5 linked regions of the Canis lupus familiaris genome follow. The protein of the gene in region 1 purifies or fractionates together with the protein of each later gene. This does not show direct contact. Links are inferred from orthologs where the notes say so. Each region holds a gene or a part of one and is shown in the gene's direction. Other genes may lie near its edges.

Region 1 (3,223 bases):
TTTTTAAAAAATTGTTAAACCTATACTAAATTATTATGCCTATATTACTTTATATTATACTATATTATATTAAAGTGTAGTATGTAAATTAAATTGTTATACCTATATTGGTTTTAAATGTTTGAGTGATTTCTAACTGGATTTTTTTAATTAAAGAAATGCAGCAACTTGATATCGATTCGTAGATTTAACTAAGTTGTAAAAGACTGTCATTTTTTTTAATAAGTGCATTAACAGTCCTCATCACTGGATATTATCAAGCCATAAATATATACTCTTATTATCTATGTGTAACAGGGCAGTTTGGCTTGGCTGGAGCTAAGAAAGACCCAGACACACCATTGTGTGGAGTTGGGTGACATCTTCCTTTTCTAGAAGCTGAATAAATAAGCTCGTGACTCTCACGGAACAATTGGATCGCGTAACAGGTATCTAGCCACACCTGATTTTGCTCTTAACATGGGGAACATCTTGAGTCCTGTCCACAATTGGGGCTCAGACATTAATTGGCATGTCTAATGAGCAAATGGTGGGGAAGCCAGATTGCAGGAGGGTCCCCAAGAGAAAAAAAGTCACCCTATGCAAAGAAGAGGTCTAACAGTGGGGTAGGTGCAAATCCAATGTGAGATGGAACCCCTACTTCCATCATGAACCAAAGCACGATGCTCCCCCAGAAGGAAAGGGCTATGTGGTAAAACTGGCCATTGTTTCACTAGGAGTCCAAGCACCCCTGCGGTGACACTTCTCTCCAGGAGTTCTGGGTGCCAGAGTGGAGGCCTCTCCCAGTGACTAGTGCGAGAGGAGAGGTGAAGCGAGGCAGCCAAGACTTGGGAGAGTGGCAAAAGCAGCCCTTGCAGGTGCCTCGGGCAGTCGGAGGAGGGTCAACACCACCACGTGGCTGCTGGCATCAGGGAGAGCCACAGCAGCCACTGGACCGCAGAGCAACAGGCAGTGGCAAGGTCATAACCTTGATAGGAACCACCTGCCTTGGGTCAGGTCTAGAGACATAACTGGAAGTGCTGAGTTCTTGCCACTGGGCAAGTAAGGGTTATTGGTCCAGAAGCCTTTGGGACTGCTGTTGGAGTGGCCAGGCCCCAGTCGCTGGTAGAGTATAATAAAATCAGGAGCTCACCCAGGATACTCTGAGTCCTAAGGCAGTGCCTCGCCACACCACAAACTATTGGGTGGCCAGAGAGTTAGGGTGAGTGATAATTGGACGATGGCGCTGGCGCTGTTGGAGGACTGGTGCAGGATCATGAGCGTGGATGAACAGAAATCACTGGTGGTTATGGGGATACCGGTGGACTGTGATGAGGCTGAGATTCAGGAGGTTCTCCAGGAGACCCTAAAGTCTCTGGGCAGGTATAGACTGCTTGGCAAAATATTCAGGAAGCAGGACAATGCCAATGCTGTCTTGTTGGAGCTTATGGAGGATGTTGACGTCTCGGTGATCCCCAGTGAGGTACGGGGAAAGGGGGGTATCTGGAAAGTCATCTTTAAGACCCCTAACCAGGACACTGAGTTTCTGGAACGACTGAACCTCTTTCTGGAAAAAGAGGGGCAGACGGTCTCAGGTATGTTCCGAGCCCTCGGGCATGAGGGAATGTCTCCAGCCACAGTGCCCTGCGTATCACCAGAGCTGTTGGCTCATTTGTTGGGACAGGCGATGGCACATGCCCCTCAGCCTCTGCTCCCCATGAGATACCGGAAACTGAGAGTGTTCTCAGGGAGCGCTGTGCCTGCCCCGGAAGAAGAGCCCTTTGAAATCTGGTTGGAACAGGCCACTGAGATCGTCAAAGAGTGGCCAGTTGCAGAGGCAGAAAAGAAAAGGTGGTTGATGGAAAGCCTGCGTGGCCCTGCCCTGGACCTCATGCATATAGTACAAGCAGACAATGCGGCCATAAGCGTGGAAGAGTGTTTGGAGGCGTTTAAGCAAGTGTTTGGAAGCCTTGAGAGCCGCAGGACCTCCCAGGTGAAGTACCTGAAGACCTATCAGGAGGAGGGGGAGAAGGTCTCAGCCTACCTGTTGCGGTTAGAAACCCTGCTCCGGCGGGCCGTGGAGAAACGAGCCATCCCCAGGAATATCGCAGATCAGGTCCGGCTGGAGCAGGTCATGGCAGGGGCCAGCCTTAGCGAAGTCCTTTGGTGCAGGCTGAGGGAGCTGAAGGATCAGGGCCCGCCTCCCAACTTCCTTGAGTTAATGAAGATAATCCGGGAGGAAGAGGAGGAAGAGGCCTCTTTTGAAAATGAGAATATTGAAGAGCCAGATGAAGGGGATGGCTATGGCCACTGGGATGACGAGGCAGATGACTAAAAACCAGCTTGGAGCCAGTGCACAGCCAGTGCACCTCGGGACATTTCCTTTTATCCGGCTAAGACCGGGTGGCTATTTTTGTCTTTAAATGGATGCAACTGAAATCGAAGCTTTCAAGCCAGGTCTTGATTCTTCTTTCTAAGAAAAAAAAAAAAAGTATCCCAGAGTTTCTTGGACCCTATATAGATGATGACTAAACACTGGATTCAATTCCAAATATGCGATAGGAAGTCTGAAGGAATCTGAAGCACTTGAAGTTTCCCCAATAGACCAAAGTTTACCCATACCATGAAAGAAAGAAATGACATGAGGAACAAAATATCTTTTGTAATCTATTTAAAAATCCGAGCTTTTTGACTTGTCAGGTGGATTTCCTTTCTCAAATCAGCACATTCTTTCTGAGTGCCTAGCAGTGTGAAGCACTGGTCAAGCAGGCAAGAGTCCTACACCCAGGAGCATGGGCCATGCTCTCAAGGAGCTTTACTGCCTCATTGAGGATGTGGCCTCTGCATGGGAGAAGCTAAATGACCTAATGTGTAAATAAGTCACAACCCCAGTAGAAGCACCATTGCCAAATGAATACAACCACTTCCGCTATGATGTTTCTTTTTCTTTACTTCGGATGCACTCCTCTACTTGTCCGCTAGGTGTCAGATGGTTGGTTCCAGGCACTATGATAGGCCCTCAAGATACCCATGACTCAGCCTAATCCCTGCTTTCAAGAGATCTACAGTGTGCAAGACACCTTCAAAAAAGTGTACACATTATGGGAAGGCATGCTAGAGAGGGAGGATTGGATTTTATGAGCAGACCATTCTGATCAGAGAATATTTTTAGTGGTGACAAAGGGGACAGAAGAGAGGAATGGAGCTCGTTATTTATTGAGGGTCTATTATGTGCCAGGTGTTG
Region 2 (3,707 bases), on another chromosome or scaffold:
TTTTTGAGGATAAGGATGGGCTATCCTTGAGGGAACATGTGATCTATAACTCCTTCAAGGAAATTTTGTTTTCTTTGAGAAAAGGCAAGTCTCCTGTGGTTAAGGAAGATTTTCATTTTTCTAGGAGAAGAAAATGGAATTGGATAAGAATCTACAGAATATTTAGAAAGATCAAAAGCGTAAAAGATCTTCTTTATTGCTGATGAAATTTGGTGCCATATGACTATTACTAAAAGCATGTTGAATCATTTAAAGTATACTCATAGCTACCTCTGCAAGCATCTAGGTGATCTTTTTAAAATTTGGGGAAAAAAATAATCTTTATAGGTTAAATGTATAGTGTAGTAGTATACCACAGAGAGTATAGTAAAACCTTACTTACTTGAAGTTAAATTGATACAGTCCTAAGTTTTTTGTCATATTTTGTAATCCAATTAGATTATTTTCAAATAAATGTGCTTTTGTGAATTGTAGCTAACATTTGCAAGGAAGACACATTTTATCTGCGTTAGTGATAGTTAAATAGTTTATGGTTAACAAATTGCCATACAGATAGAATTCTGATAAGTGGTTTGTTGATGGTTTGGTAGTTTTTAAAAAAGCAACATTTCTTAAATGATTTATTTTTTGGTCTTAATTAGATTGATGTATTCACTTGACCTCCATTTCAGATTGACTTTACTAATTCAGAATTTGAAACCATTCTTGAGGTTTCACAGTAGCTTTAGCAACAGAACGTTGTAAAGAAAGTAGTTCCATGTTCCATAGAATTTTAGAAAGCACTTGATCTGGTTATAGCAATTTGTTCCCCCTAATATGGCTGACTTTCGTCACCAATCCTATGCAGTTTCATAACTTTAGAAAGGATTATAATTTCCCTTTTTTTTTTTTTGACTCTGGTATCCTTTTTAGATGATGAAAGTTGTTCAAGTTTATGCAGAAACACAAGAGATTAATTTGAAGGTAAGCTTTTCAGACCATGCAAACTTGGTGAAGGAATATGCATTACCAATAGGTGAATATTCCTATCTTTTGCTTGCAGGCTGATTCAGAAGTAGCTCAGGCAGGGAAAGCAGTTGCATTGTACTTTGAAGATAAACTCACAGAGATCTACTCAGACAGGACCTTCGCACCTTTGCCAGAGTTTGAGCAGGAAGAGGATGATGGTGAGGTAACTGAGGACTCTGACGAAGACTTTATACAGCCCCGCAGAAAACGCCTAAAGTCAGATGAGAGACCAGTACATATAAAGTAAAATGACATGAACTTAAATAATTGTTTTAAAAAGAGAAAGAGAGAGAAAAGAAAACTTTTTATTTAAGTGTTGCTGGAATATCCTGCCTGCAATGGGCACCTCCTTGACGAAGCTGATAGCTTTTACACAGTATTAGATTGAAGTAATGGACAGAAGTCACTTCTTGCGAAGAAAGGGGGAGAGAACTCTATTTGCAACTTTAAAAGTAAAAAACGAAAAGTAAAAGTGAAATGATTTGAAGATTTCTGTTACTAAAAAGGATGGTTCTTTAGAATGGCAGATGTTGGTGATCATGTGGTATTGATTGCTGCAGGATGCTGGTGTACAAGTAAATACTTGAAGGTCATGTCGTTTGATAAATTGTCTCTTGGACAAGAGTGCACAGCTATTAAAAACGACTTCCATGCCTCCCCTTCCACACACATACATACCAGTTTTTTTTCTAGGTAAAATCAAAGTTGCTCAGATTCCGCTTTGATGTCAATGCAGATGTGCATTGAATCATGCCATTATATTTTTTCTCCCTTTGATGCTGTTGGACCTTAGTTTTTATATTGGTTTAAAGAACTCAACAGTAGTTTTATTTTCTATTTATACCTGGAGTCTAGGAAACATCATTGATCATCATTTAATCAATTTTAATGGTCTGCTGAAATAAATATGGTAACTTTTCAGTGGCAGATCATATAGTAGTCATTTCCAGAGAAACACTTCCATGGAATCGCACTTCCCAGTCAGATCATTTAATCATAAAGTTACTCCCATCAAAGGCAGAATGTTTGTTTCAAAATTAATCTAGTTTTCTGTACATTTAAATTTGATTGAGAAGGTGACCACTGGCTCTTATCCAGTCTTCCTTCATATCAGTTTTCTGATAGACCACTATTGGCAAACAATAATCTGTCAACTACCAAATGTGTAAAATTTTCTGTATTTCACTTTGTCTTATTTGTAAATAGTGAACTAAAACTTCTGGCAGATCAGCAACATTTGCTGAGCCTGTTTTTTAAGCTAATGTGTATTCTTACTAATGTTCCTATCAAGAATGGATTTGTAATATATGCTGTCTATTTCTAATGTTCACATTCATATTTTGAGGTTCTATCTTATTTTAATAGAGAACAGACTTCTCAGAAAATCTTCAGAAGCAGCTTATTATTAAATATCAAAACTATTAAAATAAACCCGGTGGGGTTAGATTACTCATCTGTCCACCAAGTGGGACATTTGCATGGACTGGGGGCTTAACGGACTTAGAAGAGGCCTGTAAGTAAATCCTGAAAATGAGCCAATCCCCACTTGAATGGTTACTGGAGTAAACCCACCTTTACTACCCTGAGTTCAGCCCCTGAGACAGGTAAACCACCTTGGCTTGGTTTCATTTTTCTTCTCTTCATTTGTGATGCTCAGATCCAAGATGTGTGTTCTAGACTGTGTACAGGCTTCTCTTTTGTTGGATTAAAAAAAATTTAGTCCTACTTTTGTATGGACACCTTAAAATATAAAGTGACCAAAATAGAAGACTTGCCATTAGATATTTTTCAGACGTCAGCAGATTTGTGGCAAATCGTTTGCCTTTTTAAAACTTCAGCTTCTGCAGTTCGGACAGTAGACTACTCAGTAAAAATTATTTGACATAATTGTCTAAGGTAAATATTTTTTAGTGCATATTGAATCAAATAAAGTGCTCTAAAGAAATTATTATACAAATTCCTTTGGGTTTTTCTTTTCTTAACAAGTGTTGGGGGTAAACATGAATATTATTCAGGCCTTCTGATGGTGTATGTAAGTGGTGTTGATTTTATTACAGCTGTTGACTAACTTCATTCTGTGGCTTCTTTTTAGCTTCTTGTTATAAGTTCAGCTTTAAAATTTACACCAAACTTTTATCATTTTACTCAAATTTCAGGTACGTAAGAAGAATTTTCTTAAACGAGGGAGAGAATCATTTTAAAATGCTTTATTTATGTGTATTTCCCTCTTTACCACCACATTTATGATTTCAGTTTATCAGGAGTCATATCTAAGGGCACGTTTTGGAAAGCACTGAGTAGCAGTATAACTTCCTTTTGTCAAGCCATTGATTTCTAATATTTTACACTTGCTCTTCAGATGAATCCTTTCATGATTCTTAGAAAAAGTCTTATACATAGGTTCTATCCATGGGGGAGAAATTAAATTTTAAGTAAATATTTATTTCTTGATATTTGGGGCCTTAAAAGATAGTGTTCCCTTTCTATGTGAGGTGGAATTCTTTTTTTTTTTTTTTTTTTTTGAGATTGGTTTTTGAAAAGCCACTTTATTGTCAACGTGTAATATGCTCCATTTCTCTTAATAGAAGACAGTTCATACTACTGAGAATTTACTATTAAGTAAATAGCTGTCAACCACCCTTAAATGAGGGTTTAGATTTCACTGAAGCTTTTTTTCTTGTACACTAATCACTGTGTTC
Region 3 (4,282 bases), on another chromosome or scaffold:
ATGATACCAAGAGGAAAAGGAAAATCTGAAAGACTGAAGCTATGGCATTGAGCAGAGTTTCTGTGGTCATATATCTGTATTGGTTGTTCCTAGTTGTGTATACTTTATAAAAAAGGAATATCTTAGCTGGAGACTGTTGGAATGTAAATTTCTTCCTTAGAGTTAAAATATATAAGTTTATTAATATATAGTAGAGAAACATTACAAAGCACTCTTTAAAATAGTGTGACTTTTGTGTGTGTTATCTTTGTTTATTGTATTTGTATTTTATATTTTTTGTGATCTTTTATTCAAGTGTGTGTCCAATGATGTCTTCTGTTTTCTTTATTTTTTTTTTTTTAATTATCCTAGTCACGTGAACTGGAAATTTCAGTTTATTGGCGTGATTGGCGATCTCTGTGTGCTGTAAAATTTCTGAGGTTAGAAGATTTTTTAGACAACCAACGGCATGGCATGTGTCTCTATTTGGAACCACAGGGTACTTTATTTGCAGAGGTAATAAATGTATTTTATTAAATATGCATTACTATAATTGAAATTATATATGTAGGCAGCATGATGTAGAATGGAAAGAGTATTAGGCTGAACAACAGACAACTTGAATTCTTGGCCCAGTTCCACTACTGCATAGGTATTACCTTAAGACAAATCATTTATCCTCTATAGGTCTGTTTTCTCACCTAGAAAATGAGAAGTTGGGCTTAAATTATATCTATATCTTAAGTTTCCAAATTTCATGAACCATAAATCCAAAGCTATACTCATGTCAAATTGAATTTTCTTCCCTGCAGGTTACCTTTTTTAATCCAGTTATTGAAAGAAGACCCAAACTCCAAAGACAAAAGAAAATTTTTTCAAAACAACAAGGTAGTTACTAAGGAATCAAATACAGTGTCTTTTAGTGTATTCTTATACATAGGAAATCTGCATTTAAAAGTGATACCCATCTTTGTTTTTTTGTTTTCCTTTTATTTATTCGTTTCTAACTTTTTTTATTAAGGAACATTTCAAACATACCCAAAAGTAGAGAGATTAGTACCATGTACCATCACTTAGCCTCAACAACAGCTCATGGCTGATTTTATCTATATCCCATCCATATATACCTCAGATTACATGAAGCAGACGTGTATACTGGTTATACTGGTTAATCCATATACTGGTTAATCCATAAGTATTAAAGTTAGTATCTCTAACTTTTTTTTTTTAAGATTTTATTTCTTTATTTGAGACAGAGCATGTGAGAGTGCATGAGGTAGGGGAGAGGCAAAGGGAGAGGAAGAAGCAGAGTCCCCACTGAGCAGGATGCCCCATGTGGGGCTTGATCCCAGGACCCCGGAGATCATGACCCAAGCTGAAAGCAGATGCTCAACCTATTGAACCACCTAGGTGCCCCATTCTTTTTTTTTTTTTTTAAGAGAATTATTTCTTAAACTTTAGCCGCATATCATTGTTAGACTTAAAAAAAGTAACAGTGCCTACTTATTTATTTTTAAAACTATATTCACTATTTTGCACTAGCCTTTAATAACAAATAGTTAAGAACTATTTTTTTAAGTGACAAATTTTATTTGTTCTTCATAAATTATAAACCAATGAATATGGATTTTTAAATTATGGCTTTTGGTAACATATAAAAATTACTTATTCTATTTTCTTTATTCACAATATCCACAGGCAAAACATTTCTCAGAGCTCCTCAAATGAATATTAATATTGCCACTTGGGGAAGGCTAGTAAGAAGAGCTATTCCTACAGTAAATCATTCTGGCACCTTCAGCCCTCAAGCTCCTGTGCCTACTACAGTGCCAGTGGTTGATGTACGCATCCCTGAACTAGCACCTCCAGCTAGGTATGTGTCTAAGATTTTTAGGCATCGTTCTTATGAAATAGTTATTGTAACATTCATATATACTGATGACAATGAGTCTATTAAAAGTCTGATTTTTTTCCAAGTAGTATTTTGAAATTAATGTTCTGCTTACTTTAAAAAAATGTAAAAGATAAAATTGTTTGCTTTACTTTCAAAGCTATTTAGAATATATACTTTTGATTACTGTTTTTGGTGAATTACTTTATCTTTTGTAAGTGATTCTACAGTAACCAAGTTGGACTTTGATCTCGAACCTGAACCTCCTCCGGCCCCACCACGGGATTCTTCCCTTGGAGAAATAGATGAATCTGCTAAATTAAGAGATTTAGATACACCAGCACAGGTAAGGCATTTTAAACCTTGTATAATTCCTTTTACCAAATGAATTATTGATAAAAGCATCATACTGAATGAGATGTACCTTTCCGTTAATTAAAAAATTGCGTGAACTATGTTTTTATGTTTCTTGTGAGTGAAACATAAAACCTCTGGGTGCTCATGGGCCAGTACAGATAGAATAGGCTGCTGAAGCTAAAATCACAGGAACATGGTTGATATTATTTTTTTTTTATTTTTTTATTTTTTATTTTTTATTTATGATAGTCACAGAGAGAGAGAGGCAGAGACACAGGCAGAGGGAGAGAGGGAGAAGCAGGCTCCATGCACCGGGAGCCCGACGTGGGATTCGATCCTGGGTCTCCAGGATCGTGCCCTGGGCCAAAGGCAGGCGCCAAACCGCTGCGCCACCCAGGGATCCCCATGGTTGATATTAGATGATATATTGCTTCAAAAACTCTATCTTGTAACTTGGTTAACATGATTTCTAAATATTCATTGAAGATGACAGTAATGTGTTCATTTTTCAAATATTTTAGATAAGTGTAATATAGAATAATAACTAAGAATAAATATCCATTTTCTGAATTTTACATTCTTGCTAATATTTGTATTGGCTTTTGACATTTTTAAACTTTATCTTTACCAAATAATTCATTTCTCAATATTTCTATAATTAAATAAGTATGTAATATTTTATAGGATTCAGAAACTGTTTTTGATATTGAGAATGACAGAAATAGTATACTTCCGAAATCTCCATCTGAATATGAACCTAATATTCCTCAACCAGGCCTAGGATACAGTGGTATTCGAGAACTTGAGGATAGAAGGTAAAGAATATATATACAGCTTTGTTACTACATGTTGTGACCCATGGTTTTACCTTATTTTTAATTGACATACTGTTTTCAGATCTCAACAGATGTTTCAGTTTAATCTACAAGACTTCAGATGTTGTGCTGTCTTGGGTAGAGGACATTTTGGAAAGGTAATCTCTTAAATTTTCTTGGACTGACTACAAAGTAATAACTCAAATAGAAAATACTTATTTTAATCTCATTTCAGGTGCTTTTGGCTGAATATAAACACACAAACGAGATGTTTGCTATAAAAGCCTTAAAGAAAGGAGACATTGTGGCTCGAGATGAAGTAGACAGGTTAGTTTTTTTTTTTAGTGAAATTGTTTATTTTTCTGAAGTTCTAACTTAAGATCATGCAAATTGACGTATATATTGCAACAGCAAAACTTTCCATTTCCATAATATGTGGAGAAACTAAATTAATGTAGCTATACTTGTGTAAGGTAGGCATTAATTATTGTTTTTCTTTCTAGCCAACTTCTTATGAAGGTTTATTGGTTAGTGGCTACCAAGGAAAGATGATGAAATATTTAAGTTAATTGTATTAAGTTTTTTATACTTGGAGATGGTAAAGTGTTTATATGGAATAGGAACTGTTACTCATCTGTGGTTGGGGGAGACTATTTCCCATTTCATATTACAGAAGTAATACAGTGTCATTTATAGGTAATCTGCACTCAACTTGAATGGTTAATACATTCTGCTTTTTAAAATGCACCAAATCTATTTTTTCTTTCATTTTTCTTAAAGTGATATTTTTTGACCAGAACATCTTACCTGTCTGGGTTTAATAAATATAAATTGATATGGATACATCATTATATGCAATTTTTAAAATGCAAGGATTTGGGGGACAATATTATAATTAGGTTAGAGAATACCTTTAAAAAGACTATCTTAATAAGATGATTAAATATAAAATTATTGTATAACAAGTGACATATATGACAGAGACTTTCATTTGATATTTATAAGCAGTATTTGTTTTAAACCACTTGAAAGCATCAGTTGATATTAATAAAAGACAGCTCTATCTATGAAAAGAGCCTAGGACTATGAATGAAAAGACTGGCTTCTCTATTTGTGGTTGTTCCTTAATTAATGCTTTGACCCCAGGGCAATTCACTGAACATCTTTGAACCTCCATTAACCCGCATATTTTTAAAATATATATTTTTGGTAATCCTCACCTTAATGAATTGTATTAAGT
Region 4 (4,398 bases), on another chromosome or scaffold:
GGGCTCCTGAACTAAGGCTCCCCGATGGCCCTGAGTCTGTAGTCATGGGGTCCGTGACCTGAGCTTTTTGTTCCTGGGGCACCCAAGGCCGAGGGCAGCAGCTGTCAGGCTGAGCAGATGAGGGGCCTGTGAGGAAGGGCCATCCGGTTGTCACCCTGTACCCACAGGTGTCCAGCTTACCCCCGTGCCTGAAGGGGGTCTGCATCCACTCGGGCATGAGCCAGAAGCAGCGCGAGTCGGCCCTGCAGAAGGTGAGGGGCCTCACGTGGCAGGACAGGCAGGGGGGCAGCCGGCCCTCGGTGACACGCCTGACCTTGCGTCTTCAGGTTCACGCGGCCCAGGTGCAGCTGCTGGTGCTGTCACCCGAGACGCTGGTGGGGGCTGGGGCGGGGATGCCTGGCCACCTCCCTCAGCTGCCTCCGGTCGCCTTCGCCTGCATCGATGAGGCCCATTGCATTTCCCAGTGGTCCCACAACTTCCGGCCCTGCTACCTGCGTGTCTGCAAGGTGAGCCTCAGAGGTGCGCACGGGCAGGCCAGGGAGGGGGGTTGGGTCCCTTCACAGGCACTGCTCCCACACAGGTGCTGCGGGAACACATGGGCGTGCGCTGCTTCCTGGGTCTCACAGCCACGGCCACACGCAGCACCGCAAGAGATGTGGCCCGGCATCTAGGTGTGGCCGAGGATCTGGTCCTCAGGGGGCCAGCCACCGTCCCCAGCAACCTGCACCTCTCTGTGTCCAGGGACAGGGACCCAGACCAGGTAGATGAGCACCCTGGGCCAGGTAGGGGCACTGCCTTGTGATGACCCCTTCCTGAGCACTGTCCCCCACTAGGCTTTGGTGACGCTGCTGCAGAGTGATCGCTTTCGCGCTCTGAGCTCAGTCATCGTCTACTGCCACAGACGCGGGGACACAGAGCGAGTTGCTGCGCTGCTCCGCACCTGCCTGCGTGAGGCCTGGGACCTCAGGCCTGGAGGTGAGGTCAGCAGGACTGTGCCCTGCACCCGCCCGCCCACCCCCCCCCACATCCCAGCCAACCACCTGTGTCTTCCCCCGCAGGCCAGTCCGAGGCTGTCGCCGAGGCCTACCACGCCGGCATGTGTCCGCGGGAGCGGCAGCGCGTGCAACAGGCCTTCATGGAGGGCCGGCTGCGGGTGGTGGTGGCCACGGTGGCTTTCGGGATGGGGCTGGACCGGCCAGACGTGCGGGCTGTGTTGCACCTGGGGCTGCCTGCCAGCTTCGAGAGCTACGTGCAGGCTGTGGGCCGGGCCGGACGTGACGGCCAGCCTGCACACTGCCACCTCTTCCTGCAGCCCCAGGTTCTCACCTGCCCCACTCAAGCTCCACCCAGCCCAGCCCACCCCACTCCGCCCCACCCCATAGCCACGTGTCCACGGCCGTTCTCTTGCAGAGCCAGGACCTGCAGGAGTTGCGCAGACACGTGCACGCTGATGCCACGGACTTTCTCACTATGAAGAAGCTGGTCCAGCGCGCATTCCCGCCCTGCACCTGCACCCATGCCCCACGGCCTTCGGAGCAGGAGGGAGCCAGGAGTCAAGAGCAGCCTGTGGCCCCATCCCCGACGGAGGCCGAGCAACCCAACAGCAAAGGCACAGCCCGGTGCCCAGGCCACACGCGGGCACTGCCCATGCAGGCACTGGTGGAAGCCCTGGACATGCCTGAGGAGGGTGAGGACCTGGGGGCAGGGGTGGGCACCCCCCTCATGCCCATGTCCCCACGTCCCCACGGCCCCTGAGCCCTGCTCTGCCTGCAGCCATCGAGACCCTGCTGTGCTACCTGGAGCTACACCCGCAGCGCTGGCTGCAGCTGCTGCCACCCACCTATGCCCAGTGCCGCCTGCACTGCCCTGGGGGCCCCACCCAGCTCCAGGCCCTGGCCCGCAGGTGAGCACGTGTCCCACCCCCGGCTGGGGCCCGGGACACAGGACTGGAACTGCTAATCATATGTCCCTCCCCCTGGCCCAGGTGCCCCCTGCTGGCTGTGTGTCTGGCCCAGCAGCCAGCGGATACCACAGATGGGGGAAGCTCTTCTGTAGAGTTTGACGTCTTTAACCTGGCTGACTCGCTGGGCTGGAAGCTGGGCCGCGTGCGGCAGGCTCTCCGTCAGCTGCAGTGGGACCCGAAGCCCAGGACAGGTGCGCCCTGCCCCCAGCCCAGCCCACAGCCCTGCCCAGCCCCCAGGCCTGCGTGCCACCTGCTTGCCCGTGTCTAATGAGCTCTCTGGCAGGTGCACATGGGGGCACGGGGGTGCAGGTGGAGTTCGGGGAGCTCGCCTTCTGTGTGCACAGTCCTGGGGACCTGACTGCCCATGAGAGGGACCAGATCTGTGACTTCCTGTATGGACACATACAGGCCCGAGAGCAGGAGGCCCTGGCCCGCCTGCGCCGCACCTTCCAGGCCTTTCTCAGGTAGGGGAGGGGTGGGCGGGGGCTGGGGCAGGCGTAGTGAGCCGCTCTAACGGAACCCTGCTCCACAGCGTGGCCTTCCCCAGCTGCGGGCCCTGCTTGGAGCAGCCTGATGAGGAACGCAGCACCAGGCTCAAGGCTTTACTCAGCGGCTACTTCGAGGAGGAGGAGGAGGAGGGTCCAGGGGGCTCGGAAGATGAGCAGGGCCTGGAGCCCGGACAGGAGAAGGTGGGTGCTAGTCCCTCTTGGGATTGTGGAGAGAATACAAGCCCGCAGCAGGGTTGGGAGGCCACGGGCACGCATGGGTGCGCACACATTCACACGCTCCACTGCCACCACCCATAGATCCAGGACTGGGAGGACCAGGTTCGCCAGGACGTCCACCGCCTGCTGTCCTCATGGCCAGACCAGCAGTTCTCAGGCAGGGCCGTGGCCCGTATCTTCCACGGCATCGGTGAGGGCCCGGGAGGCTGGGCTCGGACCGGGCAGGGGCTAGGTGTGGGGCTAGGAGCCAGGCCTGGCCCAGAGTCCTCAGGGCCGCGACCCCTTCCCACCACAGGAAGCCCCCGCTACCCGGCACAGGTGTACGGGCGGGACCGGCGCTTCTGGAGGAGATTCCTGCACCTCAGCTTCCAGGCCCTGATGCGCATAGCCACAGAGGAGATCCTGCGGTGCGGCCCCTGACCACCCTGCTGGGGCGGGCCCTGCTCCCTCGTGTCACGACAGGCACGCGCTGGGGGCTGCGTGGCCAGTGTGCAGGGAGCCCGGTGTGGACTTTGTCAGGGGAAAAGGGCACAGATGTCCACGACAGTGACTGATGACCCTGGGCAAGGCCCACCACCAGAAGTGTGGGAGCAAGGATGCCCCAAAATGCAGAATAAAAAATGCTCAAGCCACTCTTAGGAGCCCTCTTTTCTGAACAGGCGGCCCCTACGGTGTTGGGACAGCCCTGGCCGTCATGCAGCCCAGGCAGCTAGGCGCACGCTCAGCTTTATTAGGCAGGCTGGCCACCCAGCTCAGGCCAGGGTGCTGGGAGCCAGGCTCAGATACAGAATGGGCAAGCCTGAGAGGGCGAGGAAGAGGGAGAAGCAGAGATGCAGCCCCAGGCTGTCAGCCAGGGCTCCGGCCAGCGTGCCCAGAAACAGCTTTCCCAGCAGCTCCAGAGTGGCCAGGAGGCTGTAGTGCGTGGCCTGCAGGGGTGGGGGGGGATGAGGTGTGCGATCAGGTGAGGGTTTGCCTGGGTCCAGCCCCGCAGCCCCCTGGACGCCCCAGCCATGCCCTCTCTCACCTGCAGGGCACTGGGTGTCAGCTGGCTGCAGCGCATCATCAGGGTGAACGTGGTGGTGGTAACCAGGCCCCCCAGCAAGTGCTGCAGACACAGGCTCAGCAGGGCTGCCCCTGGGAGGGCCACCGTCAGCGGGGCCCAGGGCGCCACGCTCCTCCCCTCCCGCGGCCAGCCCCTCACCTCTCAGGGCTGCGCTGGGGCCCAGCCTGAGCCCTGGGCCGTCCAGGTGGAAGAGCAGGGCGGTCTGGCAGGCCAGGCCGCCAAGACGGAACCGGAGCAATGACCTCAGCAGGGGCAGAGGTTGCCTGAGGGGCACACGGGCAGGTCAGGGAGCAGGGGCAGGGTGGGGGCAGGGGGCCGGGGCGGGCTCACTGGGGCAGGCTCACCAGTGCCAGGACAGCAGGGCCCCGCCCAGGGATGAGCCCACAATGGAGCACAGCACAGCGCCCACACCGTTCCACAGCCCCAGCTCTGGGGTGGAGATGCCGTGGTCCAGCAGGAAGAGCGGGAACAAGCTGCTGGCGCCCTGCTCACCTGTGGGGAGAACGAGCAAGGCTCCCCACCTCCCTCCACTTGGGGCCTCGCTGCCGGGAGACAGCTGGGACGGGGCATCAGCCAAGCTTAGGGTCAGCACGAAGCAGCACCAGAGACCCGAGGGGTGGTTGCAGTTCCCGGAAGCCGTGCAGCTA
Region 5 (4,282 bases), on another chromosome or scaffold:
GTTTTTGACCATGCAAACTGCCTTATCTACCTTTTGGTAACTAGAACAGTCATGTAAATCTCTCTCAACAGTATCTCTTTTAGTAGCCAGCTTAGGGTACCAGACTAGCACACCCCCAAAGACCTTCTGATGCTATGACGTTTGGCAAGGTCTCTCTAAACCTAAGTTTCCTGAGAGGGAATTTCAGAACCTTATATTCCTCATCTATTTACAGGACACAAGGATACCTAACATATTTCAAAGATTGCTAAGGTTCAAAATCAAACGGAAATGGTCTTGGCAATTCTAAAGCACTATTTAAATACAAAGTATCAACAAGACTGTACAGTAGAATATTGAAAAAGCTGTTTGAAATAGTCAAAGGTTGCTCAGGTATAAATTGGAATAATTCTTTGGTATGGAATTTGCCATTTCAATCATGCAATCCAATACCTTAAGCAAACTCCAGAAAGTGCTGTACGTAGTAATTACTTTTACTGCACTACTTTTACTTTTACGTTCTTAAGCTGTGTAACGTATAGCACCCCTTTAAGACAATCAACTCAATACAGCATTCCGGTGATTAAGAACCGACTTTATAAAAAATAGCGAGTACTTTCTACAAAGGTGAGAGAAGTTTTGAAAAGTATCATTTTGCTCTGCTTTCCAAAGGAAGATGAGTTCTGTTGACTATTCCCAAAGAAAAGGATGAGGAAAATATTTCTTGTCTCCAGCTCATAATTAGGGGACCATTCCAAGGGAACTGTAATAGAGTACCAACCTTCCTGTCTCATTCATGAAAATGTGTCTTGCTGACCATTAATTTCTCAAAGTTTAGCATTACTTTTAAAATTTTACACTTCAGTGGCTGCAAAATGACATGACATACTAGATGTTATGTTTAATTTAAAGAAAATGTTTCTAGCAAAGATGACAATGAAATAAAACGTTCCATTTGTCCACTGATTCTCATTATAAATTTAGAGATGTTAACTCCAGGTGAGGGGAGTGGTTAAGGATCCAAGAAATTAAGGCTCTTGTACTGTACTTAACATTTTCCGACCATAGCATTAGGATTTATTTCTCTTTGTTTTATCCATCCTGACTGGCATATTTTTCGTGTAGTAATTACACAGTAAATGTGGACTAACTTCATGGAATAGTCAATACTGCTGGGTACCAGGAGCATTTGGCCAGCTGTGGCTGTAGACCCTTACCTAACAGTCTACTTATTTTGTTGTCCTTTTAGTACCTAACAATTTTTCCTGGCTCAGATCAGAATTTTTCTCTGGAAAATAATTTCTTCTAGGTTAGAAAAATTACCCTGATTCTACCCATCTAATACCCAGCAGATGGTTTTTCTCTTGGTCTGCTATGGAATTACAATACTGTAAAAGGTAGCATTACAGTATTCACAGCCTGGAAAGTTTTTCAGCCATAAAATGCCCTATTTTCTAGGCCGTGGTTTAGTTTTCTATTTATTCTCTAAAAGAAATCCTTTGTCAGAGTGGGGAAAAATGGAATCTGACTTTTAAAACTTTTTTGGCAGATCCTGATCAACTAAAGGAAAAAGTAAAAGATTTAGAGACACAGCTCAAAACCTCAGATTTAGAAAAGCAGCATTTGAAGGTAATTTTATCTAACTATATTATGTTTTGTGAAAACCGCTGTTAAAAACAACTTTTATGACTATCTTTAAGTATATATCCTAAAAATTACTGGGGTTATGTGATACACTTATGTTTGACCTTGATATTGCAGAGTTCATTATAGTCACCTGTGTTAAAAATACTAAACGAGAGCTACAAAAAAACTGAGATAAAACAAATAGGATTAAAGAGAAATTTATTTTTTAATTCTCACAAGCATAGCTCATTATTTTACTCTTAAGTTTTGGGCCACATTGGGAACAGTGTCTTTTATTTCCTTTTGAAATTCTTTTCAGGAAGAGCTCCTTTTTTATTAAAGAAAAATATTTGCCATGCTTTATCTCTTAAAGAATCTATAAACAGGGATCCCTGGGTGGCGCAGCGGTTTGGCGCCTGCCTTTGGCCCAGGGCGCGATCCTGGAGACCCGGGATCGAATCCCATGTCGGGCTCCCGGTGCATGGAGCCTGCTTCTCCCTCTGCCTGTGTCTCTGCCTCTCTCTCTCTGTGTGTGACTATCATAAATAAATAAATTTAAAAAAAAAAAAAAAAAAAAAAAAAAAAAAAAAAAAAAAAAGAATCTATAAACAGAACAAAACAGCATAAACTAAAGAATTAACTAGTGATCACTAGCTATTCTGAAGTTCATATTCTCTCTTTACACATTTCTCTTAGTCAGGTAGAGGTCCCAGAGTTTCCCAAATTCTAAATATATTTATAAGTTAAATGTTATTCATTAAAAAAAAATAGGTATTTGTAAAGAAAATATAAATGAAGCCTAAACCAAAGACTCTTAACCAAAATAACTTGTGTTGTGAACAGCCAAGTCTTTCTGATTGCCCCAATGAGAGTATCTAATATACTTTTAGAGAAAGCTTAAATGTTGCCACCACTAGTTTACACCCCCCCACATGCACACACACACACTAATTTAAGAAATAAGTTTTAGTCAAAAACTAGGGCATAATTTACAGAATAGATAATTTGATTTGCCAGCTAACAAGTTACTTATGCTGTACAGTGAAACCTTATTAATAGAATTCTAAGAAAATACTTCTGCCTGTATAGCATATATCTGATTATTCAGGTTACTTTGGATTTTATGTTTATATTTAAGTTTCTTTAATTTAAATCTAAAGAATGTATTATATTCCTACATACCTTTCAAAAATATCATGTTTCTATTAGGAGGAAATAAAAAAGCTGAAAAAAGAACTGGAAAACTTTGATCCTTCATTTTTTGAAGAAATTGAAGATCTGAAGTATAATTATAAAGAAGAAGTGAAAAAGAATATTCTCTTAGAAGAGAAGTTAAGAAAACTTTCTGAACAATGTGGAGTTGAATTAACTAGTCCTATTGCTGCTTCTGAACAGTTTGAAGATGAAGGAGAAAGTCCTCCTAATCTCCCCATTTATTAAGGACTACCTATAACTACAGTTTTATTGAACTATTTATTAACTTTATAAGTTAAAACTCCATCTGGAAATCAAGCAGGTCTCTGACCTACATGATTTCTTTCTTCATACCTGTACCTTTATTAAATTGAAGTCTTAGTAAATAAAATTATATAAAATTTTAAACATACTAGAAAAGTATATTTTTAAGACTTTTAGAGTAAGTTATGACTATCAAATGAGCTATGATGAATTTCTGTATATATTCATGTTTAAGTTTTTTAAAGAGTATAGGGTGATTTTAATTTTAACATTTAAAATTGGGGTTTTATACATACTTATTTATATGTGTGTTAAGAATCTAGTTTTATATATATTTACATGTATATAAACATGTTATGAGGTTATAGCCATATGTTAAGTATTAATGATCCAGAATTGTTGGTTTAGTTGCAGTCTTTAACTTTGTACCAGGCAGGGGAGCTTACCATTACATTTTTTAAGTCTTGTGGTTAAAATTCATTTGCTAGTTCTGAATAAAATTCTGAATAAAATTTGCAACTGGGAAATTCGTTTCTTCAAATGCTAGACGACATATTGCTCTCTTCAACACAGAATTCTGAGATGTAAAACCTTCCACATATAGCAGAATATTCAAGATTCCAATATAATAAAGCTGATTTTTAACTGGATTTCTAGTTTATACATCAAGTATTATATCTTTGAGTCTACCAAATTTCTGATTATCTATTTTTGAAAAAAGATTAAACAAACATTTAGTATCAAAGGCATGGTCATACTTGTTCAGATTCATGTTGATAACAACTGGTTTTGAATTCATGTAAGTATCTGGAATTGGCCAGCATAAACCAAGATGATGGCGATGAACCTGAAAAGAGCAAAAAAGGGTATTAGCCTCAGACTTTATTATTTTCATTCACTTACAAATAATTATTTTGAATGCCTACCATCTGCCAAGCACTATTCAAGGCTCTACCTTTTCTTACCCTTTTTTTTTTTCATAGCTGTTCTCCTTCTGACATATTACATGTTTACTTGTTATTGTCTATCTTCCCCATTAGAATGTAAGCTTCATGAAGGCAGACATTGTTTTTGTTGACTCTGTATTTCCAGTACCTGGAAACATGCCAGGATCATAATTAGGGGCTCCATAAGAATGTAATGAATGGAGTCTGTTGCTGAGTACGAAGCTAGCCAACTGAAAAACATGGGTGGGGAGGCATTCTAAGTATCATGTGAT

What was found.
Region 2: the proteins of PNMA2 (region 1) and TRIM33 purify together in Homo sapiens (affinity purification with mass spectrometry; 3 studies listed by BioGRID and IntAct, with this or other methods). This does not show direct contact. The link is inferred for Canis lupus familiaris from reciprocal best matches to the Homo sapiens genes PNMA2 and TRIM33.
Region 3: the proteins of PNMA2 (region 1) and PKN2 purify together in Homo sapiens (affinity purification with mass spectrometry; 3 studies listed by BioGRID and IntAct, with this or other methods). This does not show direct contact. The link is inferred for Canis lupus familiaris from reciprocal best matches to the Homo sapiens genes PNMA2 and PKN2.
Region 4: the proteins of PNMA2 (region 1) and RECQL4 purify together in Homo sapiens (affinity purification with mass spectrometry; 3 studies listed by BioGRID and IntAct, with this or other methods). This does not show direct contact. The link is inferred for Canis lupus familiaris from reciprocal best matches to the Homo sapiens genes PNMA2 and RECQL4.
Region 5: the proteins of PNMA2 (region 1) and CEP290 purify together in Homo sapiens (co-immunoprecipitation; 3 studies listed by BioGRID and IntAct, with this or other methods). This does not show direct contact. The link is inferred for Canis lupus familiaris from reciprocal best matches to the Homo sapiens genes PNMA2 and CEP290.

What each region holds. Positions count from the first base shown.
Region 1 is NC_049246.1:31,213,181-31,216,403, forward strand, and holds part of PNMA2 (paraneoplastic antigen Ma2), read left to right. Parts: intron 1-297; 5' UTR 298-428; intron 429-716; 5' UTR 717-1,219; coding exon 1,220-2,314; 3' UTR 2,315-3,223.
Region 2 is NC_049238.1:52,642,796-52,646,502, reverse strand, and holds the end of TRIM33 (E3 ubiquitin-protein ligase TRIM33), read left to right. Parts: intron 1-912; coding exon 913-963; intron 964-1,042; coding exon 1,043-1,255; 3' UTR 1,256-2,965; downstream 2,966-3,707. UniProt on the Homo sapiens protein: Acts as an E3 ubiquitin-protein ligase. Promotes SMAD4 ubiquitination, nuclear exclusion and degradation via the ubiquitin proteasome pathway. According to PubMed:16751102, does not promote a decrease in the level of endogenous SMAD4.
Region 3 is NC_049227.1:60,092,205-60,096,486, reverse strand, and holds part of PKN2 (serine/threonine-protein kinase N2), read left to right. Parts: intron 1-351; coding exon 352-495; intron 496-791; coding exon 792-867; intron 868-1,677; coding exon 1,678-1,852; intron 1,853-2,089; coding exon 2,090-2,216; intron 2,217-2,911; coding exon 2,912-3,042; intron 3,043-3,124; coding exon 3,125-3,200; intron 3,201-3,277; coding exon 3,278-3,369; intron 3,370-4,282. UniProt on the Homo sapiens protein: PKC-related serine/threonine-protein kinase and Rho/Rac effector protein that participates in specific signal transduction responses in the cell.
Region 4 is NC_049234.1:38,680,185-38,684,582, reverse strand, and holds the end of RECQL4 (ATP-dependent DNA helicase Q4), read left to right. Parts: intron 1-167; coding exon 168-506; intron 507-580; coding exon 581-760; intron 761-833; coding exon 834-975; intron 976-1,058; coding exon 1,059-1,318; intron 1,319-1,410; coding exon 1,411-1,687; intron 1,688-1,773; coding exon 1,774-1,903; intron 1,904-1,984; coding exon 1,985-2,154; intron 2,155-2,246; coding exon 2,247-2,427; intron 2,428-2,495; coding exon 2,496-2,652; intron 2,653-2,769; coding exon 2,770-2,878; intron 2,879-2,983; coding exon 2,984-3,108; 3' UTR 3,109-3,321; downstream 3,322-4,398. Other genes in the region: MFSD3 (major facilitator superfamily domain-containing protein 3), read right to left, coding at 3,441-3,614, 3,713-3,822, 3,890-4,014, 4,096-4,243. UniProt on the Homo sapiens protein: An ATP-dependent DNA helicase which unwinds dsDNA with a 3'-overhang in a 3'-5' direction. Does not unwind more than 18 bp of dsDNA. May modulate chromosome segregation. The N-terminal domain (residues 1-54) binds DNA Y-shaped DNA better than ss- or dsDNA.
Region 5 is NC_049236.1:29,492,291-29,496,572, reverse strand, and holds the end of CEP290 (centrosomal protein of 290 kDa), read left to right. Parts: intron 1-1,528; coding exon 1,529-1,608; intron 1,609-2,814; coding exon 2,815-3,045; 3' UTR 3,046-3,582; downstream 3,583-4,282. Other genes in the region: C15H12orf29 (uncharacterized protein C12orf29 homolog), read right to left, coding at 3,822-3,910. UniProt on the Homo sapiens protein: Involved in early and late steps in cilia formation. Its association with CCP110 is required for inhibition of primary cilia formation by CCP110.